2 linked regions of the Oryzias latipes genome follow. The protein of the gene in region 1 purifies or fractionates together with the protein of each later gene. This does not show direct contact. Links are inferred from orthologs where the notes say so. Each region holds a gene or a part of one and is shown on either strand. Other genes may lie near its edges.

The links.
Region 2: the proteins of dnajb4 (region 1) and bag2 purify together in Homo sapiens (affinity purification with mass spectrometry; 4 studies listed by BioGRID and IntAct, with this or other methods). This does not show direct contact. The link is inferred for Oryzias latipes from reciprocal best matches to the Homo sapiens genes DNAJB4 and BAG2.

Annotation. Positions count from the first base shown.
Region 1 is NC_019875.2:4,285,553-4,294,204, forward strand, and holds the end of dnajb4 (dnaJ homolog subfamily B member 4), read left to right. Parts: intron 1-2,769; coding exon 2,770-3,350; intron 3,351-5,375; coding exon 5,376-5,606; 3' UTR 5,607-5,873; downstream 5,874-8,652. UniProt on the Homo sapiens protein: Probable chaperone. Stimulates ATP hydrolysis and the folding of unfolded proteins mediated by HSPA1A/B (in vitro).
Region 2 is NC_019873.2:24,429,217-24,437,868, forward strand, and holds bag2 (BAG family molecular chaperone regulator 2), read left to right. Parts: upstream 1-2,701; 5' UTR 2,702-2,855; coding exon 2,856-2,977; intron 2,978-3,119; coding exon 3,120-3,229; intron 3,230-4,410; coding exon 4,411-4,805; 3' UTR 4,806-5,399; downstream 5,400-8,652. Other genes in the region: E3 SUMO-protein ligase ZNF451, read left to right, coding at 1-490, 574-648, 765-830, 1,441-1,481. UniProt on the Homo sapiens protein: Co-chaperone for HSP70 and HSC70 chaperone proteins. Acts as a nucleotide-exchange factor (NEF) promoting the release of ADP from the HSP70 and HSC70 proteins thereby triggering client/substrate protein release.

The sequences.
Region 1 (8,652 bases):
CGTTTATCGCCCTTTCTCCCTCTGAGTTGCCAGATTGGCCCCCAAATCCCCCCTTCAGGTCATGGTGATGCATGTGGATGGCTGGGCCAAAAGCACAGTTGGCTTCAGTTCGAGTCCCTCAGTGTCAGGGGAAATCCAGAAAACAGCTGTTCGGCAGACCACTGTACCACAGCTCTCTGCAGTTATTGAGGGTTTGGCTTCATGCTTCTTATTTTTTTAAATATAAAAACGACCCACAGCTGAGTTCTGCACCCATTTTTGAAGCATGAAGTGCTTTATTCTTGTCCCTATTCTTTAACTATGACTTTTTTCATATTTTATCACTTTAATATTTTATTTTCACTTTTATTTTATTACGTCAAAGGGTGATGACAAACCGCTGATTATCTGTGAAAATCAGGTATGGATGCTGACACTGAAGAACTAATCTGCCTGAGTCAGAAGATGAGTCATGTCTTTAATGGGTCTGGAAATGTCTTTCCATCATTAATGAGTGACATTCCACCATTTTCACTAGAATCATATCAGCATCACACGATTTACACTCAAGTTACCTTTACAGGCCACATTTTTAGCCTCAATAGATGGTTTTGAAATGCACCATCTGCATCCCTTTAAGAAAGGAATGCTTTTCCACTATTGCCATGGTTACCACAGAAGTGTGGATGGAGGAAGAAGAGCAACCTACTGTGTGGTTTTGACACCATCACCTTTCAAAGATCCACAGAAATGCTTTTAGATGTGTGGGATTCAGGATGAAGGCAGGATTAAATGTAGCCAAATCTATAGTTTCTTTAAGTATTTTTTATTTTATAACCCTTGTGCTATCTTCTTGCGCTGAGCAAGCCAATACCTGTCTTTTGGGGTCCAGATGACTGAACCTTTTTTCTTCTTTTGTGATCTTCACTGGTGTCCATGGATTACATGAAATCCTTCCACCTTTATCCACCTTTGTCATAGTAGGGAGAACATGTCAATTAGGGTGGGGTCATCTGGACCCCACAGGATAGCATAAGGGTTACTGGGATTAACGATGTAAAGTTGGTTACAATCTAAAGACCGTGTCATACAGCCGCTACATACTTTTTCCTGATTTTCCTCGTATGAAATTTCGGTCTTTCGTGACACATTCAGGACATTCGTCATTCATAAGTGCTTCTTGCGTTCGTCGATGTGCATAGATGTCCGTCGGTTTCAGCTGACGGTCTTTGGGTGAATTTGGTTTTGAGCTATTCAAAATTTTCGGGCGGTTGAGATTTACACTGTTTGGCGTATACTTACATAGAATGGCGTATACTTATATAGTGCTTTCTACCTTCTTTCAAAGGCCCAAAGCGCTTAACAGTCACAGTCCCATTCACCCATGCTCACACACACATTCACACACTGGCACCAACCTCCCACCAGAGGCAAGGTGGGGTTCAGTGTCTTGCCCAAGGACACTTCGACTCATGGGCGTGCAAGGCGGGAATCGAACGCGGAATATTACAATTATGGGTCGACCGCCCTACCGCTGCACCACGGCCGCCCATTTACTGTTGTTTAATTATTACGCAAATCTTACGCAATTGTGCGTGATTTTTGCGAGATGCATATGCAAATTTGTGTCTTTCCACAACCGTTCCACGAATGTCTAACAGATTTTTCACGCATGAACCACCGATGTGTAACTTTCATATTGCGTGTATGGCGCACATTTCATGTTAAAAATATGTAATTGACACATGAATTTTGGGCCAGGTTTGGCTTTTACGTCGATTTTACGTGTTATTTGCGTGGTTCATTCGTACTCCCTCTTCGGTTTTAGGGTGATTCATTTTTGATACATCTGTGAAAATTTCACATAAAGACCACAACTTTCTCAATCTTTTCACGTATGACCAATTTTCATCCGTGCAATATGCGAGAAAAAACTGTGACACGGCCGCAAGAATTTTCTCAGATTTTGTTTTGTTTCAAAGGCCCTCACTTTATGATCAACCTGGCAGGAGAAAAAGGTGTTTAAGTGGGTGAAGAGGTCTAGTCTTCCCCTTATATATCTAAGACTGTATTCAGACTGGACATTTGGTTCGCTTAAAGTGAACCAGAGTTTGTTTCCCCCGAAAATCCAGAATAAATTTTCATTATGGTCATACCCAACCGGCCCCTGGTCCGGGAGCAGAAACCGCTCTCGGACCCATCTCTCAAGGTGGTCAAAACAGGAAAGTACAGTAGACGGCAGTCTGAATACAGACTAAGTGCAAACTTCAGGGCTCGATCTGGACCAATGGACTTTTTTCAGTCTGAACACACCGTCAAAGTCCAAGTCATTGTTGTTTTCCATTAAACTTACCGTAGGATAATTGATCATAGTTTAACCTCTGAGAAAAGACATATCTTTCAGCATATTTTACCATCAGAGGTATCATCGATCTACTGTTAACTTCATAAAGTGAAACCGTCTGAGAGATCCAAAGCTTTACTCCTCCTCACCAACTTTATTGGAGACTGCAGATCTTCTTTGGAGAAAAACTGTACTAGAAGTCCGGATCACATGACTAAGCTCTCAGATAAATGGTAAATGACAAGCAAACACAAGACACATTTTCAAATGTGAAAAAACTGTCAGAACAACAGTTTTTTTCCTGTAATTTTGTAATTTAACAGAGCTGCTCGTGGATTTGTTGCATTCAGTTCGTTGCATCCTCACATTTACAGCCTGTTGTTGCATTGTGACACATTATCTCCTCTGTGTCACGATACTGATGACTAACTTGTGTTGTCCATCAGGTCTGAAGGGTGGAAGTGCTCCGGCTGGCGATGGACAGGGCACCAACTTCACCTACACCTTCCATGGAGACCCTCATGCCACCTTTGCCACTTTTTTTGGTGGCTCCAACCCTTTCGAGATGTTCTTTGGGCGCAAAGCCAACGGACGAGACGACGAGGACATGGATGTGGATGGGAACGACCCCTTTGGCTCCTTCACCAGCTTCAACATGAACGGCTTCCCTCGGGACGGCCACGTGGGCCTTGGCGGGCAGCAGCGTCGGAAGCAAGACCCCCCCATCGTGCATGAACTGAGGGTCACCCTGGAAGAAGTCTTCCACGGCTGCACCAAGAGAATGAAAATCTCCCGCAAAAGGCTGAACCCAGACGGCAGGACCATGCGAACGGAGGATAAGATCCTCACCATTGAGATCAAGAGAGGCTGGAAGGAGGGGACAAAGATCACATTCCCACGGGAAGGCGACGAGTCGCCCAACACCATTCCCGCTGACATCGTCTTCGTCATCAAGGACAAACCTCACCCGCACTTCAGGCGAGAGGGCTCCAACATCGTGTATCCTGTTCGTGTGAGCTTAAGACAGGTGCGTTAGTTCTATTTCAGTCTGGTACATGGATTCGTCATATCGGCGAGTTTATGAGCAAGTTCACTTTGAGTGGAGAACAAAGCTCCAAGCTTTGGACGCCAAACAGCTGCGTTACAATCAATAAACCGGAGGAAGTCTACCTCAAACCCCGTACTGAATGAACATAGTGCTGATCTACACACAAACACTTATGCAACCGACATCATCCACATGGAGGAATGGGATCTTCACGACCCTTGCAAGGCGACGGTCGCCCACACGCAACATGTACTTTTCTGGTTCCTCCCACTCTCCTCGGCTCTCAGTGAGAAATTTCACAGCCTCGTCTCTGAATGTCTGATCGCCGCACGCTAACCACACAAGATCAGCCCATTCCCGCAGTGAAACACACCCAAAAAAACTATCCGTCACCATGACGGCAACGGTGAAACTGTAGACCGAGACGAGAGTTTCAGGTCGTTTCACTGTCAGAGGTTTTCCTTTGTTTTCCAAAAGTTTGAACCGGAATAAGAAACAGTTAAACTAAAAGATAAGGCAGTCTAGAGCAGACAAATGACCTGATGATGATTGTTGAGGTTAGTTTGAGCACAACAGTGCAAAGCGGTGTAGCCTCAAACTCTGACAGTCTCATCATCATCACACAGGTCAAGAGTGCAGCACTCACACTTGGACCTTTGTATCTAGACAAATGGAGGAGACAGATTCCATCAAGTTCTCGTGAGAAACAGCTCTCCACAAATAACATCTGATGATAAAGAAGCTTCAAGATGCTTGAGAAATGTCAGATCACAGCTTTGTCACAGTAACACTGCTGTAGCTCCAGATCAGTACAAGTAATTATACATTGCAAAAAAGTATAAAAGGAGACTATTAAATACATATCTGCTTTGTAATGGGTCTAAAGTGATTATGCTGTAGAAAAACTAAGTCATACCCTAACAGTTTCCTGCTAACGTCTAAAAACATGTCATCTATGAAGGCTTTCACCTTTCCATTGGACTGTGACACCTCAAACCCAACGCATGATTCGACTCCCCCATGATTATTTTAACCCACGCCCATCATCTAGAATGGAAGCCCCACTCCGATCATATTTTGATCTATTTTTAAAGCGTTCCCAGTGGTTTTTCAATGATGATTATGTGGTTTCTAGCCAAAATCTAAAAACCTGTATCATTTTCTAAGACATAGTTTCTGCAGAGTGGCAGGAGTTCATCTCTGATTGTGGGCAGGACTGCTGGGTGGAAGTAACCCTCCTCTTACATCCCATTATCCCTTTGTTTACACTCTCTCTCACTAGCTTACAGCCCCTCACACCCCCAAACTAACATTTGCGGTGCAACAAAAATGGCGAGCAATGTTGGAGCTATCGAGGCGTCCAGTTCAGATCCAGATTCCAGCTCAGACCAGGAAAACAATGATGCTCATGGATCTTTTGGACTGCAGGTGGATGATCAGAATGCAGCAGAGCAGGAAGACTTTGGTCCCCCCAATTTCTGTTGCTGTATCACAAACATAAGCTTTTTCAAACAGGGTTTTCCTCTGCTCCAGATTCGCAACAAATTCAACAAAGAAATACTCAGAAATGCAATTAATCTGAACTTTCTTTATATATGTCCTCCATCATCAGAAAATGCTACAATAGCATGAAAAAAAGCACAATTTTCATTGGTGTGTGGGTCTTTTAGGAGATGTGATGCAGACTTTAGAGAAAACTCACTCCATAAATAAACATACAGTTTCCTAAACACTTTACGTCACTGTAAAATAACACTTGGCCTTTAAAATATATTTTATATTTCAAGTGAAAAAGCTATTAGCAGATTTATTTTTTACATTTGATATACTGTAGTTTTTTAAATAAATCATTGTTTACACAGTTTCAGCTGATACAGAAGAACGTATAGTTTAGGGTCAAGACAATAGCTGAAGGTTTTATTCCGTGCATTTCAGTTCTCACCTGCAGACGACCACAGGCGTGTTTCTACTGTCTAACTGGGCGTCCTTTTGTTTACTTTGCAGTCCTTGTGTGGATGCTCGGTCACCGTGTCAACAATAGACGGGAAGACATGCAACATGAAAATCACGGATGTAATCAAGCCTGGCCTGAGAAAAACGGTGACGGGACAGGGTCTACCTTTGCCCAAAAACCCGGAGCAGAGGGGCGACCTGGTGGTGGAGTTTGACGTGAACTTTCCGGATGCGTTGCCTGGCAACGCCAAGGACGTCCTGAAGCGGCACTTGCCTGCTTAGTGCGAGGCAGCAGCATGACGGCGCTCAGACCCTGAGAGGAGACACAGCCGCTGGAGACCAGCTGTGACGGTACGCAGACGGACGCCCAACCGACGAATGTGCAATTTCTATTTTTGAGCTTTTCTAACTGTCACGCATGCTGCCAAACTGATACAAGTGCAATGAAAGACTGTCTGGACTGTTATGTACTGGGTTGGATGGAAGCTGGCTTTTGCCACAGTCACAGCAGATGACGTTTGGTTGCAAAAATATATTTGCCAAAAAAAATCTTACAGAACTCCTGGAAGAAATGTATTGCCAAATGAAACCTTGATTCTTATAGGTCTGACCTGATTCAGTGACCTGTGTGAAACTCTCTTTAGTGTTTTATTTTGATGGATTCTGAAGCTCTCTTAATATTTGTGTGCAAGATATCCAAGAGGTATATGGCTGTATGCAACAAGTGCATTGTAGGCAAAGACTTTCAAGGCCGTGTCACACAGCCACTGCGTACATTTTGCGCATTTTCTACGTGTGAAATTTGAGTCTTTCGTGATCCAGGCGTGATATCCATTCGTGTTTCTTGGGTTCGTCATTCATCGATGCACGCAGATGGTGTGGAATTATGCAGTTTACGCATATTTTACGTAGTTTAATTATTACGTGAAGCTTACACACTTACGCGTGGTTCGCAAATTTGTGTATTCCCACGACCGCTCCACGTATGTCTAACAGACTTTTCATGCATGTACAACTGACGTCTAACTTTCCTATCGCGTATACGGCGCACATTTCATGTTAAAATTATGTAATCGATGCACAAATCACTAATAAATTGCCATGTAAACAGCGCAATAATCTCACACGGTTCATGTTCTACGTTGATTTACGTGTTCTGGTCCAGATGACCCCACTCCCAATGTTAACGTTGGAGGTGGGGTCATCTAGACCCACTAGACAGTGCTCTGAACCTTTTTTCATCAATGATTTGTGATCTTCACTGGTGTCCATGGATTACATGAAGTCTTTTCACCTTTATCCACCTTTGTCATGGTAGGGAGAACACGTCAATGTAAGGGTGGGGTCATCTGGACCCCACTAGATAGCACAAGGGTTATTCAGTTACGACCAATTTTCCTCCGTACGCTGCAATATGTGCTAATTATACGTAGTGGCTGTGCGACACGACCTTTTTAGATGATTCTTTGTTGTTTCAGTTATGGAGTAGAAGCTTCTGCAGATTTCTCCTCCGTGAAATCAAGTGTGTATTAACTGTACTTGATTTAGCATTGCTCCTACTCTTTGTTTTATTGGTAGTCTGTGTAGCATTTCTCCAAAAAAGGAAAATGACTTCATGAAAACAGGTTCTTCACAGCAGCGGGAGAAAAGTAAATGATATCTATTTTGATAGCTTACTGTGAATATTTTGTTGTTGGTAACCAGATATGTACATTTTGGATATGCAAACATCAGAATAAAAAAACCCCCACTGTTTAAGGAAGAGCTATGATGACATAATTATGACTGTGTAAATATAGCTGCCAGCTCTAAGCTGCTTAGTGTCAGCCTCTGACACAGGAGGCCTCTGCCCCACCAGGGGACGCCACATCACCCATCGCAGTGTGGGGGTCTGGAGACGAACCCTGGAGGGGCTTTCTGTGAGCGATGCTCTCCAGTGCAGCCCTGAGAACGTCTTCTGCAATGTTTGCATCGCATGGTAACTGCATGCAATAAACGGAATCACTTTTTGGAATTGATCGTCAAGTTCTAATCAGTGGGTTTGGAAATGAAGAGTGGTAACTTCATTTTTTTGTTTTAGATGCATTAATTATTAAATTTAATCTAAAAACGTGGTGAACGGAAAATTCTGACGGTCTTAATCGTTTTAGCCAAAATGGAGAATTTTAAAAACTAACTAAATAAATAAAGGTAAGGGTCAAAAATATGCTGTTGAGTCAAAACTTCAGACTATAAAAGTGAAATTCTACAGTAAAAGTATAATATTCTGAACAAACCTTTGAGGGAAAAAAATAATTTTGTTCTAATTAAGTTGAAAAAATTAAGAATAAAGTAAAAATTCTGTGTTATATATTTTTATTTTGATAAGTCAGAAGTTCAATGCACTTTTTGTCTGAATCTGTTTATGGTGATGAGGCATTTATGCTGGGAAATAAGTCATTTTTGGCTTGTGCTGTTTTTGTCCACACGTTTGAAAAGCTGCGTTTAAAATAAAATAAAGCCAAGGCAGTTTTATAGACATTTTCAGAATAATTCTCCTAATTGACAGTAATTAAACAAGAGTCCTCCAAAGGGATATTTTTCACCGATGTGACAGGAAAGACATGGTTTGGATGCCGTTATTTGGTTCTGTTTAGATTCTGCAACACTTTATAGACACTTCATTGTGTTATGTGTTGTATAGATGTAGTGCTATTTGTTGTCTTTTGTTATCTGTTCTTTTATTAATATGATCTTGTTTTTTGAGCTGTGGTAAGAAATCCTTTTCCCTGTCTTGGGATCATTCAAAGTTCCATCTATATATCTATAAAATAAGCAACAGTTTGATTAAAGCTGCAAAAACTCGTTTTTGTAGCTCGAGAACTTTGATTGACCTTTTCTGGTCATAGTAATAATGGTTAGAGTCAAAACTCGCTAAATAGTTTGGTTGTTATATTTAAGTAACATGTTCAGTAAGTTGTGGGCGTTCATTTACATTTTCAGTAAAATACATTAAATTAAATGATACAAACTTCCTGAGTACGTCTTAAAAGGCTCCTGCTGCTACACTTGAAGTTTATTTGATGAAGTATACTTGAGTATAAGTAGAAAAAGTCTACTATAGACCATGTAGTTGGAAGTATTCTAACTAAATACTTCTTCAGACTACATTGGAACATTTTAAGTTTTACAATAGATACTAAATAAATAGTAGCCTTCAAGTGTACTACTTGTAGTAAGTACACTTGTAGTACTTTTTACTGAAGGTCCATTTGTTATAATGATCAACAAACAGATACAACATTTCAGGGAGCTTTATTATTATTTCCTCTGGATCTAACACCTGTTG
Region 2 (8,652 bases), on another chromosome or scaffold:
TTTTGCGGCCTCTGCGACAGCATGCAGATGGATTCTGAGGCCGAGCTCCTGGAGCATTACCGGAGCCTTCACAGCAGGGATTACTGCTGCATGGACGACGCCGACGTTCTCCAACCGGCTGCTGCGATGCTTCCTCTGGACTGTCCCTGCATGTCTTCAGAAGGCAACAAGGAAACAGTGACGGGGGTTTATACCAGATGCATGAAAGAGTTGGCTGCAGAGGGGAAATGCCAGTACGTGTGTCCTCCCTGCAGCGTGTCCGTGCCAACGTACGCGCAGATCAAGACTCACGTGCACACAAAGCACCCCAGCCTGAACCTGGACAAGACATTTGAAGTACAATGCAACATGTGTCACCAGAGTTATATGGGTGTTCCAGGTTTCCATAAACACTATCATCACTGTCACTGCACGCTAGAGCCCTGCAGGAGCTCCAGGAAGAGCTCAGAGGCAGAGCCCACTCGTGTGGAGGTCAAAGCACACAAACGCCGTAAGTTCACCAAAGGAGGCTGACTTTAGCGTTTGTGTTTGGAGACTGCAGCACTTTTGATTCCAGTTTTTCATGATTCACAGAGATCCAGGATGAAACTCTGGGGAAGTTTCTGAAAGACGATCAGATCAACAACGAAAGAGATGAAACTGCCATGGGTAAACATTTACAGTAACGTGTCATGAATAAACATGACGGAGTTGAAGTAATTCTATCAGTTTGAAAAACCATATGTTTGATCCGATTAAAAAATCAGTTTTGTTGTCTGTTGCAGAGACCTCTGATGATGAGATGAAACACGCTCTGCCTGTAAGTGCAGAAGAAGCCAGAGAGTCAGCAGGTCTGTTTTCACAACAAAAAAAAAAACAACCTTTTTTTCAAAAGCTATAATAAAAAAGCAGTAATTATTAGTTTAGTACAAACTGTATATTTTAAAATGTAAAAAGTTTAGAGATTGGTATTTTTTATAGATCATTGTTTTTGTAAAATGAGCCAACATGTCAAAAAGATTTGAATGTTAAGACCTACTACAATGAAAATGTTTTTTTTCCAACATGTCTTCTAATGATGGAAACGCATATTAAGAAAATTAAGCTCAAATTTGCATTTGTAAAAAAATAAAAAGTCATATTTGTGTTGTTGAAACTGCACTGGGCGGCCCACAAGCTCCCTGCTTCTAGCGCTCCGAAAGGGAAAGGGGGCGGAGTTGCTCCGTGCCAGTGGTCCCGCCCACAATTCAGCTCTGCAGAAACTATGTCCTAAGAAAAACAACACAGGCTTTTTTTGTATTTTGACTAAAAGCAGCATAAACGGGATTAAAAGATCACTTTGAAAATAGCTTCAAAGATGATCGGAGTGGGTCTTTAAAATGGCCTCTGCTGTTTTTATGTTGTTTTATAATGGAGTGTCATTTTCAACTTTTTTTTTTTTCTTGTTTTTCTTTCCCGCAGAGTTGGAGGAAGCTCTTCAGAGAAGTCTTGTGGAGTTCTAAGTGCTTTCTAAATGAAGTAGTTCCTGTTGTTCACCTGTCACGTTGACCTTTTTTACTCAAGGTCATTGTTTTCAGAAGTTATAAATAAAAGTCATGAATTATTTGAATTGATTTACTTCCTTTAGCAGCCAAAGTCAGCAGTTCTTGGGGCAGACAGTGGGTTTTAAAGCTAGTTAGAAGCTGAGGGTTTATAAAAAGTCAGACGTTCTAAACATTGAAGCTATGTGTCACGTGTTCACACACACACACACACACACACACACAGGATTGTGGTGACACAGCTAGATGCCTGGGCTGACCTCGTGACCGCAGACCAACCGCTCCTCCACCTCTCTGGTTTCACTACAGACGTGAGGATTCTCTTTACCGGCTGCTCAGACGTCAGAAATGAATGAGCAGAAATTGTATTTTTTCTACAGAAAAGTTTGTATGAAACATCATTACATGAGTTCAACTTAAAGAAAAAGGTTTTTTGTGTAAAAGTGTGAGTGAATAACAGGGACAGAACGGTTTTCCTAAAAAGTACTCTCTGTGAAAATATTTTTCTTTAATAAAGATATAATAACGGAGCATGACGTTTGGTCATTGAATGTTACATTTGATTATTTTGTTCGGAGAACAGAAAAAAAAAACAGTTTGGAGACCTGTTGGTTGGTAAAATAGATGGAATCTATCTTTGTGGCTTGAAGCAATAGAGATAATGGTAACAAGCACCTGTCACCTCATCAGCGCCCCCTAAAGGTGGTTTTGTTACATTGTGTCTTTGCTTTTTTCTTTTAACTAAAATGATGAAAAAGTGCCACTTGTACAAATTGATGAGAGTTGCAAATGTCATGTTTAACAAACCTGTATGAACTCTGCAAAAATATTATTCAAATCATGCAGAAAACAGTTATTGGACAATACTATTATTTTATATTTACTTGATGTATTCGTCTTTTAGTTTATTTTTATTTTCTAATCAATTTATGACAATTGTTTTTTTGCCTCCTAATTATATAAAAGTTCCAGAAAAAATAAGCTTTCTCTCCCCCTGTTCCCTTTTATCTCCCAGATATAAAATCTTGTGTAAAATAAAATCTGTTGTTTTATGGAAATTCAAATAAAGCATTTTAAAGCTAAAGCGCTCCTCACTCAGAGCCCCCTGTTGGAGCCCCCTGTCTGGGTTGGAGCCTCCTCTCTGGGTTCCTCGGGAAGTTTCTGTGAGGAGGAGGAAGAGGAGGAAGCTGAAGCCCATGTTAGGAAATGTTGTCCCAGGGGCGCTGCTGCCTGTAGCCTGAGGAATTACTGGTCAGGCGGAGAGCTTAAAGCGCCGCTCACTCTTTGGATTGACTGATCGGACTACAGAAACTCGGCACTGCAGCACTAATTATTATGGCTCAGGCGAAAATCCAGGCGAAGATGAACGAAGCGGTCTGCAGCAAGTTCAGCAGGACACTGTCCATGGCTGATCGCTCCGGAAGACTGCTGGAAACTCTGGATCAGCTGGAAATCAGGTACAATAACGGGCCTCGCCATGCGCGTCTTCTTTGGAGGTGCTCTCGTTCGTTTGACACTGTGGCGTAACTTTAACAACTGAACGTGATTGGAAGGAAAAAGAAAAGCTGTTTTTTTTTGACGGATGTTTGTTTTTGTCAGGGTGGAGGCTTTAAGAGAAACAGCATCCGCCCTGGAGCAGGAAAGAGAAGGCATCCTGGAAATGATTCAATCCATCCAGAACAGTCAAGAAATGCGTAACATCTGTGCGGGTGAGGCTGCTAATTCTCTCCCACAACTTACATAAGAGCACAAGTCATCCGCTGCTTAATACCAGTGAAGAGTGGCTTAACTTTCCAGTAATCTTAATTCCTGTTTTTTGCTACTTTGATCCTGTGGTGATAAAAGGAAAACTTTGCGTGATGGTCAAGAAACTGAAAAGAACAATGTGCTCCACCCAAAATGCATCACATGTCTCACCCATAGAGGTCCCATTTCACCTCTGTGTCTTTCTATTAAACCCTCTAAAAGGAACACACTATACTTCTGAGTCCAACATAGCAAGTTTACTACAAGATATAAACTTTTTTTCATGGTATAAGTAGAAAGAAAAATTCTGTTCTTTTCATGGTACCATATTATATTTACATATTCAACATAAGTCCACACATTTTCATGAATAGAAAGGAACAAAAAAAATGAAATTCTTGTTATATTTCTGCCCCTATATCAAATCTTAAAGACCCACTCAGGAAAATTGTGTTTTTGGTGTTTTTAACATGTTGTTGTGGTGTTTTTCTCAAAATGCAGGACATATAGAAAGAAAATTCAGCTCATATTTCCATTTCGGTGTATTTCTTTATTCAAATTGCAAAAGCAAAAATGCCATTTGAAAAAGCTTGTAGGTTTGACGTAGAAGCTAATACAGCAGACCACAAACGTCCTGCTCTTCTCTGCTCCATTCTGATGCATCCACTTGCGGACAAATAGATCCATGTAGGTCTTTTGTTTTCCTCATCCGAGTTGGCTTCCGGCTCAAAGCTGGACGGATGGATATCTCCATTCTTGCAGGCCATTTGAGTTGCATCAGTAATGTTACGTTGGGGTTATAAAGGGCTGTAAATTTGCAGGAGAGCGTTTAAACACATAGATGTCCGGAAGCAAGGGTGGGCTTACTCCACGCCTACGGCCCCACCTACAACTTAGAGGCAGATTTCTAATGAATTCCTGCCGCTCTGCAGAAATTATGTCCTAGAAAATGACACAGGATTTTTTTATTTGGGCTAAAAATGGTATAACTATAATTACAAAACCACTCGGAACACTTTGGAAATAGATCAAAAGACGATTTATTAACATAAAATACATCAAAATAAATGAAATGAGTCAAAAACAGGTTAATAATAATATTTTTTATGACAAATTAAAGCTCTAATTTCCTTTTCTTCTGCAGGAGAAAGGGAAGAGTTGAGCTTAACTGCGAACCGTCTGATGGGCCGGACTCTGACGGTGGAGATCTCCGTTGGCACCATTAGAAACCCCCAGCAGGAGGAGGCCCTGCGGAAAGCCACATCCATGATTGACGAAATCGTAAAAAAGTTGCTGGTCGACATGGAAGGCGGTCGGCAGCAGCTGATGGCGCTGCACGCCGCCTGCGTGACCGAAGCACCGCCTGTCCCCATCGATCAGAAGTTCCAGGTTGTGGTGATCAGCTGCTCTTTGGAGGACCAGAAGAAGATCAAACAGAGGCTGGAGACGCTGGTGAGGAATGTGGAAAACGCTGAAAAGAACATCAAAATTATGGATCATCAAAAACTGGAGAGTGCAAAAACCAACTGCAGTAGTTAATAATCATCACCAAAGCATGAAGGGTGTTTTTGAATTCCACTTTACCTCACAAAGGAGAGCTGCACAAGCATGACTCTTAGGGATCCATGCATTGTAACCAACCCTGAAAAGTACACTGGTACACATTTTTTTTGTAAAAAGGTCAATTTTTACTTTAAATTTTACTACACCGACATAGCTAAAGGGCACACAGTTCACAATGTATGTTCATCAATAAGCCCAAGAAAGAACAAATACAGATGCATCACAGATTGAAGTTCAACCTTTTGAAGACAATATATAATTTTGAGCACATTTTGCAGCAATTCAGTGCTCTGACATATGAGGTGATTGACAATGCAACAACCAGTATTTTACCAATACTGTGATCGTTAACGTTGAAAATAAAATTACAAACATGTCAAATGAAACCACCTGACAGGAAGTTCGTGGAATTTATCTCAGTTGTAGAAAGACTTTTTATTTGTCTTACAGTTTTAGTTGAAAGGATTTTTGACACAAACTCTGTACGCCTTCATCTTCTGCTGTTTTTTTTTTTGTTACATTTTTATGAAACACAAAGAAAGAAAGTCAATAAAAACTGTGAGAAGCCTCTGAATATGCAGTTTCTTGTTTTCACAAATGGGGAATCCTCCTTTATTTTGTCATTTGGTTTGATAAGAACCTAAAAGCACATGTACAGTTCATAAAATTGCACAAGTCAATGCTTACAATTGGGAGAAAATATTAAAAGTTGTTTCACCATCATGTATGTAGTAGCACAAGGAAAATATGAAACTTAAAAAAAATTGTGATGATGGGACAAAAGCATTCAAAAAGAAAAGAAGGTTCTGTAGCAATTTTGAAATATGTTAAAGTAAATCAGTTTGATTAATTTAATATTATTTAGAACAGAATTATAAATAATAATGGATTGGATTTATGTGCGCTTTTCCAGACCCTCAAAGCGCTTCCGTTGTGTCCATTATTCATTCACTCTTCATTCATGGTAGAGGTGTGGCTGCTAGTATGCAGGGCTTTCTGACCATCACCGGGATCATTCATGCACATTCATGCTGGTAGGCAGTAGCGTCAAGGGTCTTGCCCAAGGACCCCCACTGAGTCATGGTAATTGCTCGCCATTGTTTATATTTATGTATCATTGTTTATTCCCCTCCTGCATGGCAGCCTTCTACCTTACCAACTGAGCTACCCAGCTTGTTATGAGAAATAGGAGCTATGTGGTGGCACAGTGGTTAGTGCTGTCACAATGGGTGGTTTAAATCTTGCCTGGGTCCTTTCTGTGTGGACTTTGCATGTACTCCTGGTGCATGTGTGGGTCCAACAACATGCTCAAAGGTTAAATGGCCTGTCTAAATTGCCCCCTGGTGTGCATGTGAGTGTGTGTGGTTGTGTGACCCTGGAACAGACTGGTGACCTGTTCAGGGTGTACCCTACCATCACCCAATAGTAGCTGGGTCCAGCAGCCCCAGCTTCCTGTGTTGTTTGGTCCAACAGATCAAATGTCACATTTGCTAATGGAAACACAGATGCCACACCCTTTTAACTAAAGCGAACCAAACTTGTGAGAAACCTCAGAATATTTAGAAAACAGGAAAATATGCTGTCATTACCCGAGAACTTTGTAGCAGAGGAAGAACATCCTGCTCCGGATGTTCACACAGCCGAGATGATAAAGCAAGAATACTTTGAATGATTTAGGATGCAGCACTCAGAGTGGGAGAACGGAGTGTCTTTAACCCTTGTGCTATCCTAGGCACTTTAAAATTGGGAGTGGGGTCATCTAGACCCCACTAGACAGTGCACTGAACCGTTTTTCTTCAATGATTTGTGATCTTCACTGTTGTCCATGAATCACATAAAATCCTCTCCACCTTTATCATGGTAGGGAGAACTCATCAAAGTAAGGGTGGGGTCATAGGATAGCACAAGGGTTACAGTGCAGCACATAATAGTATTTTAATCAATAGTAAGTGTTGTCCATTATGTTATCCAGCCAGTATATGCATTACTTTTCAGACAACCAGAACCAAACAGTTGCAGCTTTAGGGCTGGAGTCTTCACTGCTTTTGTCCATCTTTAGGAATAGCTCTGCTCTAAAGCAGAAAATCAAATAAAAAACTGTAAAAATATAAAAAAACATTGTCTTTAGTGATCTATCTAAATGTGCAATTATGCCAAATGTGATTATGTATGCAGGACATGAAACGGGCTTATTTAGATGCATTAAAGAAATGGACTGAATTATTTTGTCAAAAAAATAACAATTGTGCTTGCTTTAGTGTTAATATGACTCCAAGAAAACAACACCTCAAAACTCCCCATAATACAAAGAAAAACTGTAAAAATGTCACTCCCACGCAGATGAATCTTCCTATCAAGACGGTGCAAATGCAGTCATCACAGTATTTTTAATAAATAACTGGATTTCTTAACACATAAGATGTAAAAAGTTCAATATGTGTTGTACTTAGAAAGAAATGTTGATAAAAGAGCCTTACTTTTTATTTAGTACATAAATGTAGGCAGTTTGCAAAAGGGCTTTTGTTGTTCTGCTGATAAAATTTTACATTTACAAGAGGAAATCCAGGAAAAAGGTTTTTCACTGACACAAACTTACTCCTAAAGGGGGTTTCAGATTTTAAGATTCAGATTATAATCCAGGAAGAGTTAGCCATAAAAAACACACACAAGAAGAATTCAAGAGTTTTTTATTTGTCTGATTGCCATCAAATAGTCTCTCACATCCCACCAGCAGGCGCCCACTTTGTGTGACAGACCTCAGGCTGATGCAGAATTCGGAAAAGAAAATTCAAGATGTGTCGAGTATATTATTAAAGTGAAAACATGCCGCTGTCTGTGTCAGTTTGAAACGCGTGGAATTCATCTAAGCCGTTAAGTATACAATTAAAAAGAAAAAAAAGCACAAAAAAGATTAAAACACCTGAGTAGAAGCACATAGGAATGGCTAAATTCATTTGCAGGTTTTTTTTTTTTTTTTAGGTTAAAATGTAATAATATTGATAAAGTGCGATAAATCCATTCAGTCAAAAATGTTAAAGTAAACACTGAGATTTAAATACAGATGGACTTTCTGGGTGTTTGAGGCATAAAATGTGAACGAATGAAGAAAACAAGGCAATGGTGAAACATTCTCTGAAGAGAAAAGAAGGCTTGCATGCAGTGCAGGAGTATCTTGGTTGTATTTACCTCAGAAAAAATACCGCCAACACAGAACCGGATTTAATGGGAAACAGTTCCAATAACTGTGGAACAGGTTCTAAGCACCTTTTCCTTCCTTCAAAAAAAGAAAAAAAGAAAAGAAACGGCTTATCTGCATATGAACTATGACATTCATGTTTCTTAACTATTTAAACAGTTATCATCATGAATGAAGAAATCGTTAGTGTCCCACATAATCACATATGTCGTTGTGTTTGGTTAGTTAGATGTGAATTACTCCAGTTGGAAGAAAAAAAGGACATTTGAGGCAAAAAAAGGCATAACAGCTACAGTTTGCAGCTGAGACTATGACTACATTTGATCAATCTTTTTCTTCCAACATCCACTCTAGTAATATTCAGTCCTGATGGTCTCTTTTTTTTAATACCTTTCGTTTACATTCTGCTTTGATTTTTATGCCACAAGCACTGACGTTTGCACTTTCAGATTTCTGTTTTTACCCTTTCTTTACCATCAAAAGGTAATAGTGACACCTTTCATTTAAAAAAAAACATCACTCAGAAACACACCCATGAGTTTACACTGTTACCAATAGTTCAATGGAAGAAATTACAAGGAAATACATGTAAACAACTGCGATAAATGTGGATTTATGATGGGAGCA